4 linked regions of the Anolis sagrei genome follow. The protein of the gene in region 2 interacts with the protein of the main gene of each other region in a biochemical or structural test. Links are inferred from orthologs where the notes say so. Each region holds a gene or a part of one and is shown on either strand. Other genes may lie near its edges. The genes, in order: NR2C1, HDAC4, ZBTB16 and CAMK2D.

Region 1 (7,975 bases), on a different chromosome or scaffold from region 2:
AACATTATGTTTTTGTGCTTAATTTGTAAAATCATAATGGAATTTGACATTTAATATGCTTTTTCTTAATCCCTCCTTATTATCCAACATTCTGCTGGCCCGTTTATGTTGGATAAGCGAGACTCTACTGTAACTGTTAAATGATTTTTGAATGGTTATTTATGTCATTCTTATAGAATTTGGTTTTATTGTTATATGTGTTTGCTATTTGTACTGTTTCTAAATTGTTGTGAGCCACTTTCGGGTCCCATTCAAGGAGAAAAGTGGGATATTAATAAATATATTATTATCTAAGGGTTGCTTCTGAAGAAATAGTTTTAAATCAAGAAATGGTTTTCTAAGATCTACAGAGACACTCAATGGAACACCTCAGCAAGCGAAAGTCCAAAAGTGTCAGGCTAAAACCCAGAACCTCAACCAATGGCTGATACCAAATGAGATACTCCCTCTTGGGCACACAGAAAACTGGGCAACCTGGAAGGCACTGAACAGACTGTGCTCTGGCACCATGAGATGCAGAGCAAACCTTAAGAAATGGGACTACAAAGTGGAATCCACAACATGCGAGTATGGAGACGAGCAAACCACAGACCACTTACTATTTTATTTTATTTCTTCATCATGTTATTTTGCATCTGTTTATTGCATTTTCTGTTATTTTATGTATTTTATTTTGATGTTATTATTTGCTGTTTGTATTTTATTTGTACTGTAATTCTGTGCTTGGTCTCATGTTAGCCGCCCCGAGTCGCCTTTGGGGAGATGGTGGCGGGGTATAAATAAAGATTATTATTATTATTTTACTGACACAAAATCGCAGTATGTCACAGCAAATGAGATCTATATGTTGGATTTTGTATCACAAGTAGATACAAATACCTCACTACCTCTGAGGATGCTTGCCATAGATGCAGGTGAAATGTCAAGAGAAAATGCCTCTAGACCATGGCCATATAGCCCAAAAAAACCTACAACAACCCAGTGATTCCGGCCATGAAAGCCTTCGACAATACAAGTCGAACACTTCCCAAACGTCTAGGACTGTGTGATGTATTTTCGAATGATGTGTGCAGATCCAACTAAGGTGGCCTTTTGCAGTTGATAGATTGTGATTTTCTCAATATTTATTGTTTCCAAATGCTGGCTGAGATCTTTTGGCATGGCAGCCAGTGTGCCGATGACTACTGGGACCACCTGTGCTGGTTTATGCCAGAGCCTTTGCAGTTTGATTTTGTGGTCCTGATAATGGTTAAGTTTTCCTCAATTTGACTGTCACCCCGTATGACAACATCAATAATAATAAATAATAATAATAAACTTTATTTACCAATGGGGACTCGGGGTGGCTTACATGAGGCCAAGCCCAATCAACGAATTAAAACCAAAAACACATGCAACAAACAACATCATAATTACATAAAACATATGAATACATTAATGATATAAGATTACAATAAACACAGTCACAGTGACAATGGGTGGCTACATGTGCGAGAAAATGATTTAAAAACTGATTAAAAACACAGGTGAGATAAAAGGAGAAGCAGGTTATTTGCGGAGGGGAGCTTATTAAAAGGAGGATTGTGGAATTGAGCTTTCCCACGAAGGGGGGGGGGGGGTAATACAAACTTATTATTATTATTATTAGATGAGTCCACAGGAAAAATGATCACTCTGCTGGCTGTTGTATTGCATTACACATTGGGCAGTTCTCAAGTGTCTAGGACTGTGTGATGTATCAGTGAATAATGGGTGCAGATCCCAGTAAGGTTGCCTTTTGCAGCTGGCTGATGGTAATCTTGTCAGCGCCAACTGTGTTTTAAGTGCAGGCCAAGGTTTTTAAGCACTGCACCCAGTGTGCTGATCAGCACTGGGACCACCTTTACTGGTTTGTGCCAATCACCACAGGGACCACCTTTACTGGTTTGTGGCAGAGTGTTTGCAGTTTGATCTTTAAATCCTCATATCGTGTCAGCTTCATTATTATTATTATTATTATTACTATTATTATTATTACAATGCAACCTGAGCCCTGCCACATGCACAATGGAAGACCTTCTTATAGCATCACCAGAGGCACTCCATGTGGCCAGCTACTGAAAAAGGACATTTAATAAAATGCCAAGTTTGCAAACTTTGTTTTTAATACAACCGTTTGGTTTGCTCCTGACACGATAAATAAATTATCTAAGGGTTCACGGCGAAAACAGCGCAATGTATTCACGAGATTCTCTTTGTGTGCAGCTTGGAAGCAAAGAAGCAGAGACTGCCTTGCTTCCTCCCTCCCTCTCGCCTTTCGGCTGTCACCCAGGGGCCCCAACATGGCTGCTGTCGCCCCCTCCGGCGCCCCTTCCTCCCTCCCTCCGTCCCTCCCTCCCTGCCCAGGAAGCCCGGCTGGGCTGCGGAGAGAGAGGCGCGGGCCTCGGGGCGCGGCCTGGATCCGGGGAGGGGAGACGCAAGCCTTTCCTGTGGGTGAAAGGTCAGGGGGGCGGCGGCTGCTCGGCTGCCATTGCGAGGCTGAGCGGAGCACGGCGCCCAGGACGCCCTTCCTCCCGCCCTTCCTCCCCTCCTTCCATTTTCGGGAGGCTCCCTCAAGGAAGGCAAGAAGGGCCTGGGAAGGCCTCGCCCGTCCGCCCCAGCTCCTTCCTTCCTCCTCCTCCTCCCGTTCCCCCGCCCCCGACTGACCTGACAGGCGCGACGCATCCGCAGCCCCCTCAGGGCTTATTTGACGGCGGCGGGAGGTCAGAGGTCGTGACCCCGGCCCCGCCTCGCGCGGCCTACGCTCACGTTCTCCTCTCGGCGCCCCTCCCTCCTTCCGTCCCCTCAGCCGCCGCCACAACCGCCGCCGCTTCAAGGCCCGGTTGCGCTTGCGCAAAGCGAGCCCATGGCGGAGGCGGAGCGAGTGTCACCGTGCCGCACGCACGGCGGGGGAAGAAGGGAAGGGGAAGAGAAGGGAGAAGAGCCAGGCGCGTCGTCATGGCGACGGAGGGGGGAGTAGTAACGGGGGAAGGGAACAGCCTTTTGAATGGTCTACCTCAGGGTCAGGTTAAGCGTCTTCTGCGCATGCGCGACGGTGAGCCTCTCTTTTATCTTCTCTCTCTCCACAACCTCCTGCTATAACCTCCTGCTATTGGTGGGCCTTTTCAAGGACTGGGCCAAAAACCCCTATCAGCCAGTGATGCTTTTAGATGGGCTGTTTTCTCCAACATGTTTGTGTGTGTGATGGGATGTGTATGTTTGTGTGTATGTGTTGTATTTCAGTGTCAACACTGACACTGAAATTCAACACCGCCTAAGCTCTGCGAGTGCAGAGTGTTTGAGGGCCGGAACATCCATAGGAATGCCAAGGTGCTTGTTTATAAAGCTCATTAAACACCGAGAAAACCAAAGTGCTATTCCAGCAGTCACCAGCCAATCCCTCTCCAATGCCAGAAATACAACTTAATGGTGTAACATTAGAAAATGTTGACCATTTCCACTACATTGGCAGCCACCTTTCCACAAAAGTCAACATTGACACTGAAATTCAACACTGCCTGAGCTCTGTGAGTGCAGCATTTTTCCAAATGAAGCACAGAGTGTTTAAGGACCAGGACATCCATAGTGATACCAAGGTGCTTGTTTATAAAGCTATTGTCCTGCCAACCCTGCTATACGCCTGCAAAACATGGACTGTCTACAGACATCACATGCAACTCCTAGAACGATTCCATCAGCACTGCCTCTGAAAAATCCTACAAATCTCAGGTGAACAAATGTCAGCGTGCAGGAAGAAGCAAAGACCACCAGAATTGAAGTGATGGTGCTCCGCCATCAACTCCGCTGGACCAGCCATTTTTTCTGGACCACTGTCTCCCAAAGCAGTTGCTCTACTCCGACTCAAGAACAGAAAACGGAATGTTGGCGGGCAGGAAAAGAGATTTAAAGATGGGCTCAAAACCAACCGTAAAAACTCTGGCATAGACACTGAGAACTGGGAAGCTCTGGACCTTGAGCGCTCCAGCTGGAGGTCAGCTGTGACCAGCAGTGCTGTAGAATTTGAAGAGGCATGAATGGAGGGCGAAAGAGAAACGTGCCAAGAGGAAGGCGTGTAAAGCCAACCCCAATCAGGACCGGCTTCCACCTGCAAACCAATGCCCTCACTGTGGGAGAACATGCAGAACAAGAATAGGGCTCCACAATCACCTATGGACCCACCATCAGTACACCGATCTTGGAAGACAATCCTACTCGGACAACGAGGGATCGCCTAAGTGTGTGTGTATCTCCTTACTTAGAATTACAGATTTGAGAGAGACCCTGCAGGCCATCTGTAACATTAATATTAATAATAAAATAATAATAATACCATCTGCTGGAGGCAAATAGAGGGAGAAAACGTGGAGGCAATGACAGACTTTGTATTTCCAGGTGCAAAGATTACTGCAGGCGCAGACTCCAGCCAGGAAATCAGAAGACATTTAATTCTTGGGAGGAGAGCAATGACCAATCTCGATAAAATAGTGAAGAATAGAGACATTACACTGGCAACAAAGATCCACATGGTTAAAGCAATGGTATTCCCCACAGTATGTCAGAATATGGATATGAGAACTGGACCATAAGGAAGGCTGAGGGAAGGAAGATAGATGCTTTTGAACTGTGGCGTTGGAGGAACATTCTGAGAGTGCCTTGGACAACAAGAAGATCCAACCAGTCCATACTCCAGGAAATAAAGCCTGACTGCTCATTGGAGGGAAGGATATTAGAGGCAAAGATGAAGTACTTTGGCCACATCATGAGAAAACAGGAAAGCTTGGAGAAGATAATGATATTAGGGGAAATGGAAGGAAAAAGGAAGAGGGGGCAACCAAGGGCAAGGTGGATGGATGGTATCCTTTGAAGTGACTGGCTTGACTCTGAAGAAGCTGGGGGTGGTGAAGGCCGATGGAACCGCTGGCGTGGGCTGGTCCATGAGGTCACGAAGAATTGGAAGAGACTGAACGAATAAACAACAACAATCTACTGGAGACAAAGAACTGGTAGGATCACACACCTGAAAAGGTTATGGAAAATGAAACCATCAAACTACTCTGGGACTTCTGAATTCAGACTGATAGAGTTTTGAAGCACAATACTCCTGATCTCACAAAAAAAGTATGGGTCGTCGATGTTGCAATCCCAGACAACAGCAGGATTGACAAGAATAAACTGGAAAAGCTTACACGATATGAGGAATTAAAGATTGAGCTGCGAAGACTGGCACAAGCCAGTAAAGGTGGTCCCAGTGGTCATCAACACACTGGGTGCAGTGCCTAAAGACCGTGGCCTGTACTTAAAAACGATCAGAACTGACAGAATTACCATCTGTTAGCTGCAAAAGGCTACCTTAGTTGGATCTGCATGCATCATTTGATAAACATTTTATTTTGAAACTATAGTATTTCAGTAGATGACCTAAGAATATGAAAGCAAACAATATTTTCTCAAGATGGTATAGGCTTTTATAAACCACAGTTGCCCCACATTACATTTTGTCTATATTTTCAAATTCTTAATAATTCAAACATGTTTTTCTTGTGCAGAAAGGTGCCCCAGGCCCATGAGAGTATTAGTTGCCCTTTTCTGCAACACTTCTAAGTTCTGTTTTAGGATTATCATGACACCAGATCTCATATGTATATGCTATAGAGAAGGCAGCAAAGTGCTTAGTTGTCATTTGTGTAATGAATGATACTGACATTGGTTTTAAAAAATAGCATCCATTTCACTGCTTTCTCTTCTGGCTAATGCGTATAAGAATTGCAATTCACCATCTGCAGATTACATGTTCTCTTGTAATACAAGGAAAACAGATACTATATATTGTAGTCACCGAATTATCAAAGCTGGCTCATTGATTGGGATGGGTAAAAAACTGGCTGAAGATGAAGAAACATAAAACAAAATCCGGAAAGGAAAATAGTATTATTTTCAGGATAAACTGAACCAAAAGTTTGCCTCCATTTATTTATTTATTTATTTGTCAATTAAACTTCAGAGCATTCTTTGATCTAATGCTGCTTTTGAATGCTTCGGTCAAAGCTTTTTGGCTGTTTTGATTAGTACTCTAGTTGGATTTTTAGCTGGCACAGTACTATTTTAGTATCTGTAGCTGGCTGGGAATATAGTTGTGAATTGGGAGATTTGTATGAAATTAAATGAAGTGAAATTGAATTGTGGCATTTGGGATTTTGCTGATGTGCTGACATTCTTCGATTAAGTCGTTTTTCTCAGCAGTGCTAGTTCATCTTATGAAAATGCATTAACTAGTAGTAGATAAGAAATGAGAGTTGTGTGGCATTCCAGTTTTAGCATTCCAGTCCCACCCTGAATCATCAGGAAAGAACAAGTCAGCCTTCTGATCAAAAATATCTATAAATATAGGCAGGGCACCAATACTTCCTCATTTGTCCTCAGCTTCAGCATCACAGCAACTAAAGGGCATAGTGATATAATTGCATTATATATCCATATGATGAAATACCATCGTTACTCTTGGACACAATTAACAGCCAAGATAATATATTCTGTATATAAAAAAAACCCCATGGCCAGTCTCTCACCATCCTTTTCTCCCCATTTGTTTGAAAATGTTTCTTTTCTATTTCTCACTCTGAACAAAAATTAAGGAGCAGACATAACACTCCTGGCCAAACTTCCTTCTTTCCACTGCACGTAGCCCTGTGCCAACTAAATACAGAACAGATTTAGGACGGATAAGCTGAGAAATGGGAAAAATGTAATTTCTTAGTAACAAGCAAGGTAGTCTCCCCTATACAGAACAGAAACTATTGAAGAAGAAAGGGCAGAACCTGGAAAATGTACTTTTTAAGAACACAATTTCTATATTCTCCCAGCCAACGTGGCCACTTTCTATGTTTGTTGGGGAATTGGAGTGGCAAGTGTAGAGTGGGATGCAATGGTACAAAACAGTACTTTCCCCCATTTTGATAGATTATTGGTATAGAATACATTCAGAACCGGTTGCTAAGTTGAACTGTGGTCTCAATCTATTTCTTCTTTTATATAGGCCCATTGGATCAATGGGATCTATTAACATGTTGACAATATAATTCTAGCTCTGATAGAAACACAGTGCAGTAGCAGAAGCTGTCACGTAACTGGTTATAGCTTTTAGCATCTAACTTTTAGTTCTGCCAGTCTTAAAACGCACACAAACTGATTTACAGGCCATTCCTCCTGCTGATTTTGTTTCCTTTCTTTCCTCTAAAGTAATTAATAGAAGCACATTCATTTTGTTCACCATGGGGAAAAGTCCATATCATGGGGAAGAAAAAATTCGCAGCCGTCAAAGTATTTTGGAAGAACAGGTCTGTACTTCCTGTTTTACAACAATGTGGAGGAGGAAGGCATTTGTAAACTAGTTTTGATAAAAACAACTATTTGCAGTTATTTTAAACTGTTTTAATCTGTAGTGTTAAAGGTCTGTTTTTTCATTTACTAATTAACAATAGAGTGCAGTCTTTATACACTCAACATAAGAAGCACTTGAAAATTCGGTAAGAGCAACTGAAAGAAAAAACCTGTTAAATATCTCAAGTTCTGTGACACTGAGATATCTGAAGACCTCTATGTCCTGTTCATAATAAAAAACAGATTCATTCATTTGATTTTAAATGTTGAAATGACTGAATGTTCATGAGAAAACATTGCTTATAAAATAAACCAGAACCTGATTACTTGTCCCATTCTAAGGTGTCTTAATGTACAAAGGATAAACTACAAAAACTATATTACCATTTCCCTCAAAGGTTGGGGAATGCAAGATAAAGAATGCTTCTGCACACCTGTACTGCTTGTGGGATATTTTTTGGCAATTCCATGGCCAGAGTCTGAAAGAGAGCAAAACTAGATAGATCCTTGCTCTGTACCAGCATGGCTCATTTTCTTGAGTGATGAAAATGTTAATTACATATGTCACAGTCCAGAGGGT
Region 2 (7,467 bases):
TCATGAAACAATGGCTTCAAACTACAAGAGAGGAGATTCCATCTGTACATGAGGAAGAACTTCCTGACTGTGAGAGCCGTTCAGTAGTGGAACTCTCTGCCCCAGAGTGTGGTGGAGGCTCCTTCTTTGGAAGTTTTTAAACAGAGGCTGGATGGTCATCTGTCAGGGGTGCTTTGAATGCAATATTCCTGCTTCTTGGCAGGGGGTTGGACTGGATGACCCATGACATGCGCCTTTCACCTTAAGAACAGACAAGCATCCCGTGCTCTGAGGATTACCTGGGAAGGAATCCCACTGGAGCATTGCAGCACACCCAAATACCCGGGAGTCACTCTGGACCGTGCTCTGACCTACAAGAAGCACTGCCTGAACATTATCACAGGGTGTCTGCGCCCCACACCACTGGAGAAATTACACTGCTTAGCTGGTATTGCACCACCTGACATCCGCCGGGAAGTAGCAGACAATAGTGAAAGGACCAAGGCAGAAACATCTCCAGCTCATCCCCTGTTTGGGTATCAGCCAGCACGTCAACGACTTAAATCAAGACATAGTTTTCCTAGATCTACAGAGACACTTGCTGGAACACCCCAGCAAGCGAGAGTCCAAAAGTGGCAGGCCCAAACCCAGCACCTCAATTCATGGGTGATACCAGATGAGAGACTCCCCCCTGGGCACTCAGAAGACTGGGCGACTTGGAAGGCGCTGAACAGACTGCGCTCTGGCACCACGAGATGCAGAGCCAACCTCAAGAAATGGGGCCACAAAGTGGAATCCACGGCATGCGAGTGTGGAGAAGAACAAACCACTGACCACCTGCTGCAATGCACCCTGAGCCCTGCCACACACACAATGGAGGACCTTCTTGCGGCAACACCAGAGGCACTCCAAGTGGCCAGATACTGGTCAAAGGACATTTAATCAACTACCAAGTTTGCAAAATCTGTGTTTTTTAAAAATCTGTTTGTTTGTTTTGTTCTGTCAAAAATGTAATACAATGGTATGGTTGCTAATAACACGATAAATAAATAAGTCCCTCCTGACACGACCCCCAGGTTGAGAAAGACTGTTCTATGATATACTGAGGGAGCCCGTTCTACAGGGATATCCGTGCCAGGCTTATCTTACCTCTGATATACAAGCACCCAGGCCATTCAGGACAATTTTATACCTCCATGCTACTTGCAGATACTAATTCAGCTACAACCTACAATGTTGCAAAGTTCTGTGCAGCAGCATAAAAAATTTGCCAGGGAATGACTAGTCCCAAAGTCAACTGTGTGTCCAGTAATCTTCTTCCCTGAATCTGCAATTTGGTGATGGATCTGGGCATTGTATGTTTTTAACCTGTTTCCCCTTCTGCTCCCTCACCCATATTGTGCTTTAGTAGTTATATTTATATTTTTAATGTACCAAACATACCAAGTTTGTATGAAAATGTGACTCTATTTCCTGTGCTGGTCAATGACCGAAATAAATGATTTGATTCAGTTCTTGTGGGTTTTTTCGGGCTATATGGCCATGTTCTAGAGGCATTTCTCGTGACGTTTCACCTGCAATCAATCAATGATTTGATTGATTGATATACTGAGTTATATGCCTGTGCGGAAGGGCCCACAGAAAGAGCACATGAGACATGCACATTGGCAGACGGTTGTTTCCCCATCCTTTTTCCTGGAGGTTCCGTTTGGCTTCCTCTTTCCATTTTGCCTACAACCCTGTGGGGTGGACTCAGCAAAGAGCCTTAAATCCTAGGAGAGGCCTGATCGCTCCTGCTTCAAACAAGAGAGAGAGGGCCTGCTCCTGCTTATCTATCAGCAGAGCTGCCCAGACAAAAGCTTCGGGTACCACAGCCTGGAAAGGACCGCACCGAGGCTGTTCTTTGCCAGGGCCATTTTCCCAGGAGTCAAAGCGCTCCATTCAGAAGGCCCGGCCTGCTCTTCTTCCTCTGTCAATATCCCAGCCATTACACCGCAGGAGGATGACTGACTGACCGACTGCCTGACTGAAATCGTGCCCTGAGGCAGGCGAAAAGGCGAGCGGCCTTCCTCTCCTCTCCTTTCCTCTCCTCCCTCCTCTTGGCAGCCGGGACACCGCCCAGCCTCGCCCTCGGCTCCACCGCATCTCCCTCCTTCCCTGAAGCGCACGCTCTACTCACCCCTTCGGCCCAGAAGGCGAGGAAGAGGGAGGGGCTTGCTTGGGAGGCGAGACGGGCGCGGCTCCGGGACCCACCCGCCTCATTCATAAAACGGAGCCAGCGCGCGAGGCAAGGAAGGAAGGAGGGAGGGAGGGATGGGTTCCCAGCGAAGGGGTAAATACAGCGGCGCTCTCCGCCGAAAGGGCGGCTCCCCTCCGATAGGTCGGAGCAGGTGTCAGTCAAGGGCTCAAGGCCCGCCCCTACCCTCACCCCGCCTCTTCACCCAACGCCGGGGCATCCGAGAACATGGGCTCAAAAGCACCCGCCAAGGCGGCCAACGGGGCCCTGATTGGTGCTTCGAAGCGCCACTCAGCCGCCTTCCTACTACCCCCCCTCCCCGCGCGCGCGACCCCCACACACTCCAGCCCTGGGCATTCTATTGCCCTTCCCCCTCCTTGCCCTCCCTCCCTCCGCGCGCTCTTCCTCCTTTGCATCCCCTCCCACCGCGGTTGGGGTCTTACCAGGCACACGTTTCGAAACAGAAAGGGACCCTTTAAGGCTGCTTTAAAAGCCGGAGGACACAATTTCCCTCTATCTCTCCCCCCGCTTTTTTGTTTAAAGGGGAAGTGCGAATAACGACTGCAGAATAATAACTGGCCTCAGAACGGGGTTTTTTTTTCCGGGCCAAGCACTTACCTCAGCCGGAGACATTCAGACGGCAAGACCCGCAGAGAATGCGGGGAAGGGAGGAAAGCAAGCAGGCAGGCAAGCCCTCGGCGCTGGCACAACGGTGCGCGCGCCGCCAACGGAATCAGCCCGTGACGGGACCCGCCATCTTGGAGTTTTCAGATGGAAAGTCACGTGGTACAAACCTCCTTTTTTTTTTCCCTCCCCCCTATTTTGCTCCCGCGGGCCAATCAGAGAGCGGGGCTATTAATAGCAACGTTTCCCTCCTCCCTTGCTCTCCCCCTCCTTTCTCCGACGCCGGAAGTGGAGTTGATTTCGGCTGATTTCGGAAGCGGGAGGCGTGGCTCTCTTCGCGAGTCTCCGGCCAGATTTCTCTCTCTCTCTCTCTCTCTCTCTCTCTCTTGCCATGTATCTCAAAGCCCACGCCGGCAAGAAGGGGCAAGCAAACAAAGAGGGTCGCCCTCCCCTCTTTCCTCTCTCACACACAGAACTGGAGGCCATAGGCAGCCACCATGGAGGTCTCCCGGGAGAGGCGGATGAGCTCCCTCTATCAGCTCCAGCTCTTCATGCGGGGACATGAGAGAAGCCTCCCACAAGGATAAAAACATCAAATCATCCGGGCATCCCCTGGGCAACGTCTTGCAGAAGGCCAATTCTCTCACACCAGAAGCAACTTGCAGTTTCTCAAGTCGCTCCTGACACGACCAAAAAAATGGAGGTGGAACCAAGTCGCCACAGAAAATGCCTCTCTGTACACCGTGTTTACATAGCTTCAGGGGGATTGAATGTTTCATATCCAAAGCCGAGGTTGTGTACCTTGAAATATCCAAGAAGCAGGAATATTGCATTCAAATCACCCCTGACAGATGGCCATCCAGCCTCTGTTTAAAAGCTTCCAAAGAAGGAGCCTCCACCACACTCCGGGGCAGAGAGTTCCACTGCTGAACGGCTCTCACAGTCAGGAATACATAGGAATTCATTCATGGGTTGTTTTTCAAATTATAATCCGGCCCTTCAACAGTTTGAGGGACTGTGTCCTGGCCCTCTGTTTAAAAAGTTTGAGGACCCCGGCTCTATGCCTTCTAGGTTCAACAGGCTAATTCACCAGCCAACTAGGTCATGTATTGGAAGCATGCCCAACTGCCACTCGTGCCAAACACCATTTGTCTAAGTGATACCGTACTTTCAGAACCTGCTATTTTTGTAAGCTATGCTGACAGACACACCAAAGATCCTGGGCACCATGATGAAAACTACTCTTCTTTCTGCTTGTAGTATTCATGATAATAGTAGGTTTCCTGAGCTCACAATTGACCTGGCTTCCAGTAAGACTAGACTGAGGTCGGGGTGTGTGAGGCAGGATGTCAACTACCTAGCACATCTTCAATCACCAGCTGGTCAAGTTGTCCACCTTCTCTAGACTTCTGTCCCTTCTACTCTTATTCTCACCTGATCATATATACTTGTTCCATAGAATCACTTCATTGTTTGCACTTCCTGAGCTATCCCTGTAAATCTAAAAAGCCAAATACATGGCATGTAAAGTGTTTTAAAGCTGTGATGGCGAATGATTCAGGTAGAGCAATATAGCTGGAGAATGTCATCAAGCCAGGTGCCCACATTAAAGTTCTTTTTGTGTTGCTTTCTCAGTTGTAGCAAAGAGTGATTATATTGAAAGAACCTGTCAAAAGTCAATAGACATCTTACCAAAATTGGGAGAACAAAAATATGTTTCCACTCCCACAAGATATTCTGTTATTGTTTTTTTTAAAAAAAAATAATAATCCTAAACTGATGACAAGGCAAGCAAAATAAATAAATAAATAAATCCAAGGAACATATTGCTCAAAAACATTAAAGCACACAAGAAAATGTTCTTTTAAATGTGCCAGAAACAGAAAGCCAGCCAGGGTGGCAGTGCCAGAACTTGGTCATAGGCAACAGGCAGATGGATGCCAGGAATCGGGATTTGTGCCCGGCAGCCTGACCAAAGGAACAAACAGCAGTCAGAACTAAAGAATACACCGAAAAACAGGAGGATTGTTCCTGTTCATCATTAAAGCACTCAGTCCAAATAGGAAGCTCTTCCTAGCCAAGAAAGCTCAATGGCCAGCTTGTTATTACACTGCTTGTAGAGCTGCTGGTTTCCTGGTTCTACCAAGTGGATTGCTGGGTGACAAAAGAGTGCCAAAGGGGACCACTGCAAAGTATTGTTTTCACTCTCTTCTGGTTCAAGACAGGAACGTTCCAGTCCAGCTACAGTCTCTTAGAGTGCTTCCAGACAGTGCCAAAACCCGCATTTTAAATGATGACAAAAATCCCAGACTGCAGATCCCCACACAGACCTGTTAATCCCGGGATTGAGTCCCTTGCCATCCTCACAGCCTTCCTCTGTATCGGAACAATCATGGAATCATAGAATCACAGAGTTGGAAGAGACCTCATGGGCCATCCAGTCCAACCACCTGCCAAGAAGCAGGAATATTGCAATTAAATCACCCCTGACAGATGGCCATCCAGCCTCTGTTTAAAAGCTTCCAAAGAAGGAGCGTCCACCACACTCCGGGGCAGAGAGTTCCACTGCTGAACGGCTCTCACAATCAGGAAGTTCTTCCTCATGTTCAGATGGAATCTCCTTTCTTGTAGTTTGAAGCCATTGTTCCCTGTCCTAGTCTCCAGAGAAGCATAAAACAAGCTTGCTCCCTCCTCCCTGTGGCTTCCTCTGACATATTTATACAAAGCTATCATATCTCCAAGATGGAGGATGTACAAGGGACATCCAATGGAAGAGGTTTTTAAAAAATTCACTCCGTTTTTCACTGGAATGTATATGCACAAATATGAACATCTTAGTATATATATAAGTAGATCCGCATGTGTGCATATGAGTGCATAACAGAAGGACAGGGTAGAAATGTTCAAAATAAATAAATCATAATCAAAAATCATAATCATAATCAAAATGATTTTGGACATTTTTCAATTTATGCAAATTGGGTTTTTGATACAAGGAAAAATTCAGGAGATATTCCAGATAAAAATTCAAATTAATAATGATTTGCTACTATGGGGAGTGTTGGATCATCCGAGTATAATAACTAATTGCCAGGAGTTATTTAAGGTAACAATAAGAGCAGCCCATGCGGTGATTGCTAGAGGATGGAAAGACAAATCGAAATGGACGTTAAGTAATTGGAATGATTATATGTATGACCAAGTGCTGTTAGATATTACGGGAATTATGACTAAGCAAACACCAAGAATGGACAAAGAAAAGATCATTACAAATAGATGGAAGGTCTACTTCAACTGGGTGAAAAATGGAGAAGCCAACGATCACATCAAAGAAAAAAAAATACAAAGACTCTACCAGTGGCTGGATCTGCAAGATTAGTAGAAATATACTGTGGTTAAAGAGGGAGGGAGAGGGAGGGAAGGTGGAGATAATGTAATATACACCAGAGTAAATTAACATAATGTCTTTAATATTTGTTGAATGACTCAGGATTTATATGTGTAACACTTGGAATTTGGCTTATTGATCTGTGTGTATAACATAATAAAATATCTTAAAAAAAAAAACAAATTGGGTTTTTGCAGTTGCCCATGCCTGTGTATGTAAAATAGTTAGAAAGCTCTAGTCATAAGAGAGTACTTTGTTGCCTGCTCCCATTCTTATGTTTTTTTTTTTATTAATGTGATATCAGGATGTATTTGGACATACTCTGAAACTCTCTTGATCATGAAGATATATTTCTTGCCTTGTAAGGAATTTCCTAAAAAAAAAATACATTGGGGTTTTTTGGGGTTTTTTTTTTTTTTTGTTTTTTTGCATATGATATGGGGGGGGGGGGTGGGGAAGAAGTAGCTGATGGCACTATTGCTGTTATCTAGATGGAAACAGTTCTAGTTAGGAATAGTTTGCATGGATTTTCGGTTGAAAATGTCTTAAACTTGAGTGAATGCCACATGCACAATGGAGGACCTTCTTGCAGCAACACCAGAGGCACTCCAAGTGGCCAGCTACTGGTCAAAGGACATTTAATCAACTACTAAGCTTGCAAACTTTGCAAACTGACAAGCTTTGTTTGTTTGTTTTGTTTGTTAAAAAAATGCAATGCAACTGTTTGGTCTGCCCCTGACACAATAAATAAATAAATAAACTTATATTGTACATATTGCTTCTCCAACTTAAATATCCACCAAATGTATATATAAAAGCCAATAATCTTCATGCATACATATATGTTATAATATTATATTACATTAATTATCTGTAATAGATATATGTAACTTGTAGCATGTAGTATTTACCCAACTTTCTCTTCAAATTTAATGTGACCCTGAAACATCCTTAGAAAAACCAGACCTCCTACTTCTAGAAACTAAATTTTGTTGCTTCCGACTCTTCGTGACCTCATGGATCAGCCCACACCAGAGCTCCCTGTCGGCTATCACCACCCCCAGCTCCTTCAAGGTCAATCCAGTCACTTCTAGGATGCCATCCATCCATCTTGTCCTTGGTCGGACCCTCTTTCCTTTTTCATTTGGTGTGTTGCTCTTTAGAGCATCGGATTCGTCATTCACCTCCAGCACCGTTGGCCACTAGCCTTCCTTTCGGCTTTAAGCTATCTGCATCATCA
Region 3 (6,938 bases), on a different chromosome or scaffold from region 2:
CCTAGAGTTGGAAGCAACCTTGTGGGCCACCCAGTCCACCCCATTCTACCAAGTTATAAGAAAATCGCATTGAAATCACTCCTGACAGATGACCACCTGTTTCAAAGTCTCCAAAGAAGGAGCCTCCACCACACTCTGGGGCAGAGAGTTCCACTGATGAACAGCTCTCTCACACAGTTAGGAAGTTCTTCCTAATGTTCAGGTGGAATCCCCTTTCCTGTAGTTTGAAGCCATTGCTCTGTTGCTTCAGGGCAGCTCTCTCCTTGCTTTGACTTCCCCTCACCTCTTGATACATGGCCCTCATCACGCCTCCTCTCAGTCTTCTAAGGAGCCCCCGTGGTGCAATGGGTTAAACCTTTGTGCCAGCAGGACTGAAGACTGACAGGTTAGAGGTTCTAATCTGGGGAGAGCGCGGATGAGCTCCCTCCATCAGCCCCAGCTCCCCATGTGGGGACATGAGAGAAGCCTCCCACAAGGATGGCAAAGCAAACCCTTGTGCTGGCAGACCCTTGTGCCAGCAAGACTGAAGACTGACAGGTTGGAGGTTCAAATCTGGAGAGAGCACAGCTGAGCTCCCTCTGTCAGCTCCAGCTCCCCATGCGGGGACATGAGAGAAGCCTCCCACAAGGATGGTAAAGCAAACCCTTGAACTGGCAGACCATTGTGCCAGCAAGACTGAAGACCAACAGGTTGGAGGTTCGAATCTGGGGAGAGCACAGCTGAGCTCCCTCCATCAGCTCCAGCTTCCCATGCGGGGACATAAGGCAAGCCTCCCACAAGGATGGTAAAGCAGACCCTTGAACTGGCAGACCATTGTGCCAGCAAGACTGAAGACCGACAAGTCGGAGAGTGTGGATGAGTTCCCTCCGTCAGCTCCAGCTCCCCATGTGGGGACATAAGAGAAGCCTCTCACCAGGATGGTAAAGCAAACCCTTGTGCCGGCAGACCCTTGTGCCAGTAAGACTGAAGACTTACAGATTTGAGGCTCAAATCTGGGGAGAGTGCGGATGAGCTCCCTCCATCAGCTCCAGCTCCCCATGTGGGGACATGAGAGAAGCCTCCCACCAGGATGGTAAAGCAGACCCTTGTGCCAGCAAAACTGAAGACCAACAAGCTAGAGGTTCAAATCTGGGGGGAGCGTGGATGAGCTCCCTCCGTCAGCTCTAGCTCCAAACCCTTGTGCTGGCAGACCCTTGTGCTGGCAGGCCTGAAGACCCACAGGTTGGAGGTTTGAATCTGAGGAGAGCATGGATGAGCTCCCTTCGTCAGCTCCAGTTCCCCATGCAGGGACATAAGAAAAGCCTCCCACTAGGATGGTAAACCAAACCCTTGTGCCGGCAAGACTGAAGACCAACAGGTTGGAGGTATGAATACGGGGAGAGCACAGATGAGCTCCCTCTGTCAGCTTCAGCTCCCTATGTAGGGACAGGAGAGAAGTGTCCCACAAGGATGGTAAAGCAAACCCTTTTGATGACAGGACTGAAGACTGACAGGTTGGAGGTTAGAATCTGGAGAGAGCGCAGATGAGCTCCCTCCGTCAGCTCCAGCTCCCCATGCAAAGGGGACATGAGAGAAGCCTCCCACAAGGATGGTAAAGCAGACCCTTGCGCCAGTAAGACTGAAGGCCAACAAGTTGGAGGTTTGAATCCGGGGAGAGTGCGGATGAGCTCCCTCCATCAGCTCCAGCTCCTCGTACAAAGGGTACATGAGAGAAGCCTCCCACCAGGATGGTAAAACATCAAAACATCCTTGCAGACGGGCAATTCTCTCCCAGCAGAAGCGACTTGCAATTTCTCAAGTCATGAAAAACAAACAAAGCCTTCTCTTCTCCAGCAACCCATTAAAAAGCCTTCCACAACACACCCTGACTATTCTTATTATTATTATTATTATTATTATTATTATCCCGAATCCCATCCTTACAATCCTTGATATCTTGACCATCCTGAGAGCTATTGTCATTGTGATCCTTCTCTTTACCGTCCTTACTATTTGGGAGAGAAGAGTAAGTAAGTATTTGGGAGAGAAGAGGGGCCAAACAAACGGGGGCACCCTCTCTCTCTCTCCTTCCACCTCTGTCCAAGAAGAGCCATTCCTCTCCTGACCATATTTACTCTCTTTATTGTTGCTTGCTACTCCTCCGAGTGTTTACTCTCCTCCCAGTCCTTAGTATTGCTACTCCTCCGACTCCTGACTATCCTCCCCTTCCTTATTATTGCTACTCCGAAGAGCTATGGATGCTCTTCTGCTCCTCCAAAGGTGCTCTTCAGGTTCTCTTTCCTCTCCGTCGCTCGGTCTCCATGCTTTCCTATTTTGCGCCTCGGTTCGCCTTCTGCACATGCTCTTTGCCCTCTTTCCCTGGGACGCAACCTGCAAAACTGCCCCCAGAAGGGAAGAGGAGAACCCATGGAAGGACTCGAGCCGGCTTTGGAAGGAAAAGGAACCAAACAGGTCCTTGGAACGAGGTGCCCAAAAGGAGAGCTCGTCCTCGTGCTTAATTACGCACCAAAAGGAGAAAGAATACATATTTTGCGCCCCGGTTCGCCTTCTGCACATGCTCTTTGCCCTCTTTCCCTGGGACGCAACCTGCAAAACTGCCCCCAGAAAGGAAGGGAAGGACCCAAGCAAGGACTCGAGCCAGTTTTGGAAGGAAAGGGGACCAAACAGGTCCTTGGAATTAGGAGACCAAAGGGAGAGCTCGTCCTCGTGCGTAATTACGCACCGAGAGGAGAAGAAAGAGTTGGGTTCGGCATTGCGCCCCACGAAAGAGTTGGGTTCGGCGGAGACTCACCGGTTTGGGGGGCTTCTTTCCCCCGGGCAAAGGAGGCTGGAGAGGGTCTCGGAAGGGCCGGAGGAAGAGGATGGAGGAAGAGGAAAAGGAGGAGGAAGAAGAGGAAGAGGAAGACGCGGCGGCGGGCGGAGGAGCAGCATCGCCCGCGAGTTGGCAGCGCCGGCTCCGCGCGTCTCTCTCTCTGGCCGGGCGGCGAGGCGAGCGAGGAGGGCAAGCAGGCGCCGCTGAGGAGCGGACCCGAGGGAAAACGCCCCCTCCGAGGACACGCCCCCCTCGCCACGCCCACTCCCGCCCCCTCCCCTCCCTCCCTCCACCGACCAGGCTCCATCTTGGCTCCTGGCACCTCACTTTGGGCACCCAGGCAAAGGGAAGGAAGGCGGCACAGAGTTTGGAAAGGACCTCCGTGGCCATTCCAGCTTTTTTCTTTTCACAATCTAAGCCCTCCCGACAGAAGGCCATCCAGACTCTGGGTGCTTTCTCGCAGTCAGGGGGCTCTCCCTCGAGGGTCATCCATCCCAACTCCCTTCTGCCACCTGAACATGAGGAAAAACCACCTGACACATTGAAGAGCTCTTCAACAGTGGAACTCTCTGCCTCAGAGTCCTTCCTTGGAGACTTTCAAAGAGAGGATGGATGACCATCTGTCAAGGGTGCTTTGATGGTGCTTTTCCTTCAGATGGCCCAGAGGGTCCCTTCCAACTCTATTATTATTATTGAGGCTGGATGGCCATCTGTCAGGAGTACTTTGATGGTGCTTTTCCTGCATGGAAGAATGGGGTTGGACTAGATGGCCCTTGGGGTCTCCTTCAACTCTATTATTATTATTATTATTATTATTATTATTATTATTATTATTATTATTGAGGTTGGATGGCCATCTGTCAAGGGTGCTTTGATGGTGCTTTTCCTTCAGATGGCTCATGGGGTCCCCTCCAACTCTATTATTATTGTTGTTGTTGTTGTTGTTGTTATTATTGAGGCTGGATGGCCATCTGTCTGGAGTACTTTTGATGGTGCTTTTCCTGCATGGCAGAAGGGGGGTTGGACTAGATGGCCCTTGGGGGTCTCTTTCAACTCTATTATTATTATTATTATTATTATTATTATTATTGAGGCTGGATGGCCATCTGTCAAGGGTGCTTTGATGGTGCTTTTCCTTCATGACAGAGTAGGGTTGGACTAGATGGCCCATGGGGTCCCTTCCAACTCTATTATTATTACTGTTATTAATGTTGTTGCTATTGAGACTGGAGGGCCATCTGTCAGGGGTGCTTTGAAGGAGATTTTCCTGCTTCTTGGCAGAATGAGGTTGGACTGGATGGCCCACAAGGTATCTTCCAACTCTAGGATTCGATGATTTCTATGATTATTGAGGCTGGATGGCCATCTGTCAAGGGTGCTTTGATGGTGCTTTTCTGCATTGCAAAAGGGGTTGGACTAGATGGCCCTTGGGGTCTCTTCCAACTCCATTTATTATTATAATTATTAATAATAATATTATTGGGGCTGGATGGCCATCTGTCAAGGGTGCGTTGATGGTGCTTTTCTGCATGGCAAAAGGGGTTGGACTAGATGGCCCATGGAGTCTCTTCTAACTCTATTATTATTATTATTACTACTACTACTAATACTATTAAGGCTGGATGGCCATCTGTTGGGGATGCTTTGATTGTGCCTTTCCTGCATGGCAGAAGGGGGTTGGACTAGATGGCCCATGGGGGTCTCTTCCCACCCTATTGTTATTATTATTATTATTATTATTATTATTATTCCTACTCCTAGTACTATTACTACTGAGCCTGGATGACCATCTGTCAGGGTTGTTTTGATTGTTATTTTCCTCCATGGCAGAATAGGTTGCACTAGATGGCACGTGGACTATCTTCCAACCCTACTATTATTATCATTATTATTGAGGCTGGATGGCTATCTATCAGGTGTGCTTTGATTGTTCTTTTCCTGCATGGCAGAGTGGGGTTGGACTAGATGGCCCATGGGCTCTCTTCCAACTCTATTATTCCATGATTCTATAAAGGAAGGCACAACTCAAACACTTCCAAAGAAGGAGCCTCCACTTCACTCTGAGGCAGAGAGTTCCCCTGTTTAACAGCTCTCCTTATGGCCAGGAAGCTCTTTCTCATCTTCAGCTGCTCCCTCTTCCTTGTGACCTCCTTTCCAATATTGGAATATGGCCCTGATGTTTCCAGGATAAGAATCTCCAGGTCCTTAAGCCGCTCCTCAGAGGGATGATGCAAGGTCTCCAGGTCTTGGTTCATGATAGTGGTCTCTTCCAACTCTATTATTCCATGATTCTATAAAGGAAGGCACAACTCCAACACTTCCATAGGAGGAGCCTCCACTTCACTTCGAGGCAGAGAGTTCCACTGTTGAACAGCTCTCCTTATGGCCAGAAAGCTCTTCCTCATCTTCCTTGTGACCTCCTTTCCAATATTGGAACATGGCCCTGATGTCTCCTCTCACCCTTCCCTCCTGCAGGATAATACGCATCTCCAGGTCTTTAAGCCGCTCCTCAGGGGGATGATGCATGGTCTCCAGGTCTTGGTTCATGATAGTGGTGAATGGGTTCCTTGTGACCTCCTTTCCAATATTGGAATATGGCCCTGATGTCTCCTCTCACCCTTCCCTCTTGTAGGATAAGCATCTCCAGGTCCTTAAGCCGCTCCTCAGGGGGATGATGCAAGGTTTCCAGGTCTTGGATCATGATCGTGGTCAGTGGGTCTACTTGAGTGGGGACTTTCCTGCTCCTGCTGGACAGCGCTTTCTGGCTTTTGCCCGGATCCAACATGGAAGCGGTGGTGGCTTCGCCTGATAGGAGGGAGGGTGGGAAAGCCACGCCCCCTCCTCCCTCAGCCACGCCCCCTCCTCCCTCAGCCCCGCCCCCATCAGGCACCTGCTGCTTCTGCCCCAAACTCACCCAAGAAAGAGAGAGAGAGAGAGACCCCTCCCCAAGGCAGGGACCCTTCCCAAGGGAGACAAAGGCTCCTTCTCCACTCCCGACCCCAGGACAGGAGCCCACGCGGGATTCTCTCTCCAAGGCACGTGTCTGCGTGTGTGGAAGCGGAGGAGGAGTGGAGTCCCCTGCTTGGCCAGGGCTCGTGGGCGCCCCCACGCGGGTGGATTGGCACGCCGAGAAGGAGGGAGGGAGAGAGAGAAGGGGGGAAGGAAGAAAGAAAGAGAAGAAAGGAGAGAAAGAGAAGGAGGGAGAGAGGGATGGCAAGGGAGGGGAAGAGGAGGAAAGAAAGAGAAAGGGAGAGGGAAAGACAAAAGGAGAAAGAGAAAGAGGGGATGGAAAGAAAGGGAGGGAGGGAGGGAATGAAAGAGGGAGGAAGGGAGAGAGAAAGAGAAGAGAGAAGGAGAAAGAAAAGGGGGGTGGAAAGAGAGAAAGAGGAAGGGAGGGATGGCAAGAGAGGGAAAGAGGAGGAAAGAAAGAGAGTGAGGGAGTGGAAAGAAAAAGAGAAGGATAGGCAGAAGAGAAGGAGAAAGAGGGGATGGAAGGAGAAGGAAAAAAGAAAGGAAGGAAGGGAATGAAGGAGGGAGAGAGAAAAGAGAAGGAGAAAGAGAAAGGAGGTTGGAAAGAGAGAAAGAGGAAAGGAGGGGTGGCAAGAGAGGGAAAGAGGAGGAAAGAAAGAATGAGGGAGTGGAAAGAGAAAGAGAGAGGGAAAGGCAGAAGAGAAGGAGAAAGGGGGATAGAAAGAGAGAAAGAGAAAGAGAGAAAGAAAGAAAGGGAATGAAGGAGGGAGGAAGAGAGAGAGAGAGAAAGGCAGAAGAGAAGGAGAAAGACTAGAGGATTGAAAGAGAAAGAAAAAAGAGAAAGGGAATGAGAGAGGAAGAGAGAGAATGGGAGAAAGGAGAAGAGAAGGAGAAAGAGAAAAGGGGATGGAAAGAGAGAAAGAGAAAGAAAAAACAAAGAGAAGGAATGGAGGGAGGGAGAAAGAGAGAGAAAGAGAGGAAAAGGCAGAAGAGAACGAGAAAGAGAAAAATGGATAGAAAGAAAAAGAAAGGGAAGGAATGAAGGAGGGAGGAAGAGAGAGAAAAGAGAAAGAGCGGGAAAGGCAGAAGAGAATGAGGAAGAGAAAAGGGGATGGAAAGAGAGAAAGGGAAAGAAAGAAAATGAATGGAGGGAGGG
Region 4 (7,772 bases), on a different chromosome or scaffold from region 2:
TTTGAGGTCTTTTCTATTTCCAGAATTGACTTTACACTTTGGGGATCATATATATGAAAACACAAGGGAAAGCAAGGTCAGTGTACTGAATCCCAAGCGCTCCTTTCCCATCACAACAGGCAGTGGAGGTGATGATGTCTTATGCCATACACTGATTTCTGTCGCTATTTTTTATTATTATTTTGAAAACTTAAATGGGCATTCCTACTTGAGCCATGCATGTGAACCAGAGGCCCATTCCCTTCGCTCCTGTGGACGCCCCAGTTTCTTCCATTCCCACCCAAGACAGGTGAGAAGGGGAGAAAATCCCAAAACTCATCTGATGAAGGATTTTGTGGATTGCTCTGAGTTTTCCGAGCTGTATGGCCATATTCCAGAAGCATTCTCTCCTGATGTTTCACCCACATCTATGACAGGCATCCTCAGAGGTTGAGGGGTCTGTTGGAAACTAGGCAAGTGAGGTTTATATATCTGTGCAATGCCCAGGGTGGGAGAAAGAACTTTCCTCTTCTTGAGGCAGGTGTGAATGTAGCAACTGGCCACTTTAATTAGCATTCAATGGTTTGGCAGCTTCAAAGACTGGCTGGTTGCTGCCTGGGGAATCCTTTGTTGGGAGGTGCTAGCTAGCCCTGATTGATTCTTGTCAGAATTCTGTGAAGGGAGGAAGTGGAAGGGAAGCTCGGCATGGAGGAGTCGCTCGACCTGAGAGCGCTGAACTTTCTGCCTCGGTAAACGTGGCACCTCGAGCGTCTGAAGCGGAAAGCCGGCTTCGTCCGCGGAATGGGGGCAGCTGCGCCTCCTTCCTTCCTTCCCTCCCTCCCCACCGGCACCTCGGCCTTCCGCCTCCCCCTCTTTCTGCCGCCCTTCTTCCGCGGGGACTGGGCTGGAGCTGCCCAGGGGTGGGCTCCCTTCTCCCGTGAGGAGATGCTGCCAATGACCCTGGGCCAAGGGCGGGCCGAGGCACGGAGCGGACTTCAAACACACCCCTCCCTTGGAAGGGGATGAAGGCCCACATCCAGCCCATGCGCGCCTGGCCTCCCAGCCCTCAAAACGGACCCATTTCCCCCTTGCCTCTTTCCATCATCCCTTCCTTCTTCCCTTTCCTTCCTTCCTCTCCCTCTATATTCCCTTTTCCCTTCCCTCCCTTTCCCTCACCTCTTCTTCCCTTTCCTTCCTCTCTTCCTACATTCCTTCTTCCCTCTTTCCTTCTCTCCTTTTCCATCACCCCTTCCTTCTTTCCTTCCTTCCTCTCCTACTATATTCCTTCTTTTCTTCTCTCCCTTTCCAGCATCCCCTCCTTCCCTCTTCTCTCCCTTCCTGCGTTCCTTCCTTCCCTCCCTCTTTCCATCATCCCTTCCTTCTTCCATGTCCTTCCTTCCTCTCCTACATTTCCTCTTTCCTTCTCTTCCTTTCCAGCATGCCTTCCTTCCCCCTTCCTTCCTGCGTTCCTTCCTTCCCTCCCTCTTTCCATCACCCCTTCCTTCTTCCCTTCCCTTCCCTCCTCTCCTCCTACATTCCCTCTTTCCTTCTCTCCCTTTCCAGCATCCCTTCCTTCCCTCTTCCCTCCTTTCCTTCCTTCCCTCTTTCCATCATCCCTTCCTTCTTCCCTTTCCTTCCTTCCTCCTATATTTCCTCTTTCTTTCTCTTCCTTTCCAGCATCCCTTCCTTCCCTCTTCCCCCCTTCCTGCGTTCCTTCCTTTTTCCCTTTCCTTCCTTCCTCTCCTCCTACATTCCCTCTTTCCTTCTCTTCCTTTCCAGCATCCCTTCCTTCCTTCCCTCTTCCCTCCCTCCTTGCATTCCCCCTTCCTTCCTTCCTTCCTTCCTTCCTTCCTTCCTTCCTTCCTTCCTTCCCTCCCTCTCCCCGCGGGGCCACTCACTTCCCGAGCTCCTCGAAGAGCTGGTACTCGTCGGTGAAGCGGGTGCAGGTGGCGGTGGAGGCCATGGCGGGCGCGGGGGGCTTCGGCGGGAGGAAGCGGCGGAGCGAAGGGGGCCTGGGCAGCAGCAGGAGCGGCGGCGGCGGGAAGAGGAAGGCGAAGGCGCGGCCGCTTCCCTTGCCTTTGCCTCGCCGCCTGGGCTGCCTCGTCCTCGGCGTCGTCGTCCGGGCGAGCCCTTCTGCCCGCCCCCTCTTGGGCAGCTCCTTTTGGGCGTCCCCGGGGCGGAAGGAGGGCGGGAGAGAAGGGAGGGCCCACACTTCCTCCCTCTCCCCTTCTTTTCGGGGTTGGGCTGGGAAGGAGGCGAGTCTCGGCAGCAGCAGCAGCAGCAACTCCGACGGCAACCGTGACGGGCTTAATAATTATCCGTCCCGAGAGAGAGAGGGAGAGAGAGAGAGGCGGCGGACTGGAGCCGAGGAAGCGAGGGCGACAAGTGTCCCTTTGGAGGCGACCTGGGATGCCCTCCTGGGCGCAGTTCCCTTCCCGACGCCCAGCCTGGCCACGCAAAGCCACTCTGCGCTTCAGGTCAAGCCAGGCTGGCGACCAGCAGCCCCTTCCTTCCTTCCTCGCTGTCTTCCTCTTTCCTCCCTCCCTTCCTCAGGCTCCAGCTTCTCCTCCTCCTCCTCCTCTCTCGGTCCCACACCTCCCTCTAGCGACAGCCGGGCTCTTCCTCTCGCCGGAGCGCTGGGCAGGAAAGCGGCGCGCTGCCCGCCTGACCTCTCCCGCTCTTTCCCCTCCCTCCCTTCCTCCTTCCTTCCTTCCTTCCCTCCCTTTCCTCTAAGCCTCTGTTGACACACACGGAGCGCAGTCCTTGAGAGCTCCACGTCCTCGCCAGCCCTCCAAAATCCTTTGGCCTCCCTAAACGGGTGTTTGGGAAGGGGGTGGCCGTCTCACAGGCACCCACCAAGGGAAGGGCTCTCCCTTGATTTCACGGCTCTTTTCTATTTTGGTTGCTCTTGTGTGGACCAATAAGTCTACACATTCCTGGCTTTCGGAAATGCTCCTCTGAAGAGGAAAGAGGCTTTTCGGGATACCTCATCATCTCCCCTCCCTTTCCTTTTTTGAGGGGAGGAGGAAGGAGCCCCACCCCCGGGGTGATTCCCTCCTTTTCCCTCCCCTTTGCTTTGGGTGGCGTCACAACCCGACACGCGCGCCCGCTCAGCCACTCTCTGGGTGGAAACGCAGCAGCGGGGAGGGGGGGGGGGGGAGGAAATTAAAGCGCCACTTCCAAACTCTCGCGAGACTGTTGCCAACCTGGTTTAAGGAGAAGGCGTCGTTGGGATGCTGCTTGTAAGAGAGCTTGTGAAGAGGGAAGAATGCAGTTGCCAAAGGGGGGAAAAAAGGCACAGATTCCAAGGCAGCATCTTCCACTGCTGAACAGCTCTCGCTGTCAAGAAATTCTTCCTAATGTTTAAATATTAACAAGTCAAATTGATCTAAATCAGGGGTCCTCAAACTAAAGCCCGGGGGCCGGATATGGCCCTCCAAGGTCATTTACCCGGCCCTTGCTCAGGGTCAACCTAAGTCTGAAACGACTTGAAAGCACACAACAATAAAAACAATCCTATCTCATCAGCCAAAAGCAGGCCCACACTTCCCACTGAAATAGTAATAAATTTATATTTGTTAACATTGTTCTTCATTTTAATTATTGTATTGCTTTTAAGTGGTTTTTGCACTACAAATAAGGTATGTGCAGTGTGCATAGGAATTCATTCATGTTTTTCCAAATTATAATCCGGCCCTCCAACAGTTTGAGGGACTGTGACTTGGCCCTCTGTTTAAAAAGTTTGTGGACCCCTGATCTAAATGTTCAGGCAGAATATCTTTTCCTGCAATTAAAATCCACTTCTCCATGTCCTAGTCTGGAGTTAGGTGCCACCTCTATGCAGATGACACACAACTCTACTACTCATTTCCACCCAATTCCAAGGAGGCCTCCCGGGTCCTGGACAAGTGCCTGGCCGCTGTGTCTATCTGGATGAGGAGGAACAAGCTGAAGATCAATCCAGACAAGACAGAGGTCCTCCTGGTCAATCGTAAACCTGACCGGGGTATAGGGTGGCAACCTGTGTTGGACGGGATTACACTTCCCCTGAAACCACAGGTCCACAGTTTGGGAGTCCTCTTGGATTCATCGCTTACACTTGAGGCTCAGGCGTCGGCGGTGTCTGGGAGGGCTTTCACACAATTAAGACCCGTGCGCCAACTGCGACCGTACCTTGCGAAGGCTGATCTGGCCGGGGTGGTCCATGCCTTGGTCACCTCTAGATTGGATTACTGTAATGCGCTGTACGTGGGGCTGGCCTTGAAAACGGCTCGGAAATTTCAACTGGTCCAACGAGCAGCAACCAGGATGTTAACTGGCGCTCCTTACAGAGAGAGGTCAACCCTCCTGTTCAAGGAGCTCCATTGGCTGCTGTTTATCTTCCGAGCCCAATTTAAGGTGCAGGTGCTTACCTACAAAGCCCTGAACGGTTTGGGACCACCCTACCTGCGTGACCAAATCTCCGTCTACGAACCCACGCGTTCTCTCCATTCATCTGGAAAGGCCCTCCTCGTGATCCTGCCTGCGTCGCAAGTGCGTTTGGTGCGGACATGAGGCAGGGCCTTTTCCGTGGTGGCCCCCGACTCTGGAACACCCTCACCAAAGATCTTAGACAGGCCCTACATTGGCAGTCTTCAGAAAGAACTTGAAGACCTGACTGTTCCGATGTGCCTTCCCAGAATAGGAAATCTCCAATACCAAGTCCCAGAAGCACTTTATTAGAACTAAGATTGCCGCACTCTGCACATTGCACTTACCCAATAATCCTTACATATCACCTGTCACATCAGCACTTTTAATTCTGTACCCTTTACTCTGGCCCGGCCAGGTTTTATTGTGTTTTGGTGTATTGTTTATTGCTTGTTGTTTTGCTGTTTAATATTGCTTTAATTGTTTTTAATTTGCTTTAGGTTTGTATTGTTATGTTGAGTTTGAGGCCTTGGCGTTTGTAAGCTGCATCGAGTCCTTCGGGAGATGCTAGCGGGGTACAAATAAAGTTAATAATAATAATAATAATAATAATAATAGTCTCAGAGCAGCAGGAAACAAGCTTGCCCCTTCCTCAATATAGCATCCTTTCAAATATTTAAATATGGCTCTCATACCCACCCTGGAAGTCACTCCATTATCTGGCTCAAAGATAGTTGTCATGTTAAGGATTGCATTGAGAGGTTGCATTTCTGTGCACACTTTTAACAATCCTCACTGAATGCAATGGGGTTTTGGAGTGATTAGGTATTGCACTCTTAGGCATGCGTATCTGTAAACCTCATGATTTTCCTGAACATTTTGATGCCACCCTCTTATTTCTCAGTGTCCCTTTTCAATCCTGATTATATGTATTTTAAGTTTTCATTGCATCAAAGCATTTCAAATGAAGACATTTAAAATACAGATCAAAATTCAAAGATATAACTGTTGACAACTATAATTATAAACTGAGAAGTTAACCATGGCCGAAAAACAACTACTCAAAAATCTGTAACATTAAATTCTTGTCAGAATTCATGTATGATGTTGTTTCATAGTGGTACATGTCAAGCTAGACCAGCATTTCTCAACCTAGGGGTCGGGACCCCGGGGGGGGGGGGGAGGTCATGAGGGGATTTCAGAAGGGTCACCAAAGACTATCGGAAAACATATATCTTTCTTTTTTTATTATTAAATTTTTATTGATTTTAAATACGTATACAAAATACAAAAGAGTTACAACACATGTGAGAGGTAGGGCAAGGGAGAGGGAGAAGAAGAAAAAAAGGGGGGGGGGGAATGGGGTATCTTTCTGATAGTCTTAGGAACACCTTTGGCAGAGAAGGCCGAAGATCTTTCCACCTATCCTTTTCTTCCTTTTTGGAAACAGATGGCAAATCCTCCTACCATAAGCCCCCCCTGCTGTGATTGGCTGGCCTCTCAGCCAAGGGGAGAGCTGTTTCTGAGACTCCACACAAGGAGGGGGGAGCAGGCGTGTTCGGTGCATGGCAGCGTGGTGCACATGTGCGGGAGAGGGAAAGTATGTGAGGTTGGAGGGAGGCTTGCACCAGTGAGTCCCTTCAAGGCATGAGGGTTTTGTGAGGAATGTTTGGCCTAATTCTATCATTGGTGAAGTTCAGAATGCTCTTTGTAGGTGAACTATAAACCCCAGAAATTACAACTCCAAAATGTCAAGTTTTATTTTCCCTAAACTCAACAAGTGTTCACTAGGCCTGGGCGGTTTTGTTCGTTAATTTTGTAATTTGTTAAATATTCATTATTTTTAACAATTACAAAATGATTACAAAACTTATTTTCAAACCCGGAAGTGTTTTTAAATATCGAAACGGCTATCCTCCATCTTTTTTACGAGCTTCCGCCCGTTTCGGAAATGACGTTTTAGGGATGGAGGATGCTGGGTGCGCCGGGAGCCAATCCGGCGCTCCCAAGCACCGTGGCTCATTGTGATTGGGCGGGCTGCCCTTTAAAAGCGGCTCCGCATGGCCGCATTACTCATTGCGAAGGCGAGGAGACGGGAGGTGCGGGAGGGAGGCATGGCTTGCTTGCATTCATTCATTGCTTGCATTCATTCATTCATTCACATTCATTGTTGGGAGAGCGAGGGCGGTTTAAGGACCTGGGCTGGGAGCAGCGGGGAGGCTTTGCCTTGTTTTCGCCCCACAACAGGGCAGGGCAAGCATTTTGTTAATTTTCCATTTTTAAATATTTCTGATAAATATTTCTTTTATTCTTAAAAAAAATCAAAAAATATTCTAAAAAAAGAAAAAAAACTTGTGTGCCTGTGTGTGTGTTTGTCCCTGTCCTGCGGCTGTGTTTGCTCCACAACAGGGCAAGCATTTTGTTAATTTTCCATTTTTAAATATTTCTGATAAATATTTCTTTTATTCTTAAAAAAAATCAAAAAATATTCTAAAAAAAGAAAAAAAAGTGATTTGCGCATGCGCGCGGGGGGGGGGGTCTGCCATCTTAACGAATCGATTCGTTAATAATAACGAAATTTCGTAAATACCGAACCCTTTTAAAGGAAAATTTTGTAATTCTTTTAAATAACAAAACGCAAAACCCCCCCAAAAACGAATCAATTTTAGAAACAAATTTTTGCGTTGTTACCCAGGCCTAGTGTTCACATTTGGGCATATTGAGTATTTGTGCCAAGTTTGGTCCAGATCTATCATTGTTTGAGTCCACAGTATTCTCTGGATGTAGGTGAACTACAACTCCAAAACTCAAGGTCAGAGACCAAACCCTTCCAGTATTTTCTGTTGGTCATGGGAGTTCTTTGCGCCAAGTTTGGTTCAATTCCACCATTGGTGGAGTTCAGAATGCTCTTTGATTGTAGATTAACTATAAACCACAGCAACTACAACTCCCAAATGACAAGATCAACCACCACACCCCACAACCCCACCAATATTCAAATGTGGGTGTATTGGGTATTTGTGCCAAATTTGGTGCAATGAATGAAAATATATCCTGCATATCAGGTATTTACATTAAAATTCATAACAGAAGCAAAATTACAGTTATGAAGTAGCAACGAAAATAATTTTATCATTGGAGGTCACCACAACATGAGGAACTGTATTAAGGCGTTGCGGCATTAGGAAGTTTGAGTTATTTAAATACTGAACAGACTTATTATTTCCAATTCGTATGTGTGTTTGCATGCCATCATTGAGTTTCTTCCCATTTATAACGGAAACAGTAATCTAATCTTCTGCCTCAGTCTCCATAAACAAAGAATCAAGTAATTGCAAAATAATAACATTCCACCCCACCTCTTTTAGTTCAGGATATTTTTC

What was found.
Region 1: the proteins of HDAC4 (region 2) and NR2C1 form a complex in vitro, tested with the Homo sapiens proteins (2 studies listed by BioGRID). The link is inferred for Anolis sagrei from reciprocal best matches to the Homo sapiens genes HDAC4 and NR2C1.
Region 3: the proteins of HDAC4 (region 2) and ZBTB16 form a complex in vitro, tested with the Homo sapiens proteins (2 studies listed by BioGRID). The link is inferred for Anolis sagrei from reciprocal best matches to the Homo sapiens genes HDAC4 and ZBTB16.
Region 4: of the proteins of HDAC4 (region 2) and CAMK2D, one has a biochemical effect on the other in vitro, tested with the Homo sapiens proteins (2 studies listed by BioGRID, with this or other methods). The link is inferred for Anolis sagrei from reciprocal best matches to the Homo sapiens genes HDAC4 and CAMK2D.

The regions. Positions count from the first base shown.
Region 1 is NC_090025.1:155,090,925-155,098,899, forward strand, and holds the start of NR2C1 (nuclear receptor subfamily 2 group C member 1), read right to left. Parts: upstream 3,008-7,975; 5' UTR 2,686-3,007; intron 1-2,685. UniProt on the Homo sapiens protein: Orphan nuclear receptor. Binds the IR7 element in the promoter of its own gene in an autoregulatory negative feedback mechanism. Primarily repressor of a broad range of genes.
Region 2 is NC_090021.1:159,870,520-159,877,986, reverse strand, and holds the start of HDAC4 (histone deacetylase 4), read right to left. Parts: upstream 3,004-7,467; 5' UTR 2,834-3,003; intron 2,680-2,833; exon of another isoform or gene 2,659-2,679; intron 2,307-2,658; exon of another isoform or gene 2,159-2,306; intron 1-2,158. UniProt on the Homo sapiens protein: Responsible for the deacetylation of lysine residues on the N-terminal part of the core histones (H2A, H2B, H3 and H4).
Region 3 is NC_090027.1:42,594,874-42,601,811, forward strand, and holds the start of ZBTB16 (zinc finger and BTB domain-containing protein 16), read right to left. Parts: upstream 3,015-6,938; 5' UTR 2,792-3,014; intron 1-2,791. UniProt on the Homo sapiens protein: Acts as a transcriptional repressor. Transcriptional repression may be mediated through recruitment of histone deacetylases to target promoters. May play a role in myeloid maturation and in the development and/or maintenance of other differentiated tissues.
Region 4 is NC_090025.1:33,138,176-33,145,947, forward strand, and holds the start of CAMK2D (calcium/calmodulin-dependent protein kinase type II subunit delta), read right to left. Parts: upstream 3,003-7,772; 5' UTR 1,943-3,002; coding exon 1,878-1,942; intron 1-1,877. UniProt on the Homo sapiens protein: Calcium/calmodulin-dependent protein kinase involved in the regulation of Ca(2+) homeostatis and excitation-contraction coupling (ECC) in heart by targeting ion channels, transporters and accessory proteins involved in Ca(2+) influx into the myocyte, Ca(2+) release from the sarcoplasmic reticulum (SR), SR Ca(2+) uptake and Na(+) and K(+) channel transport.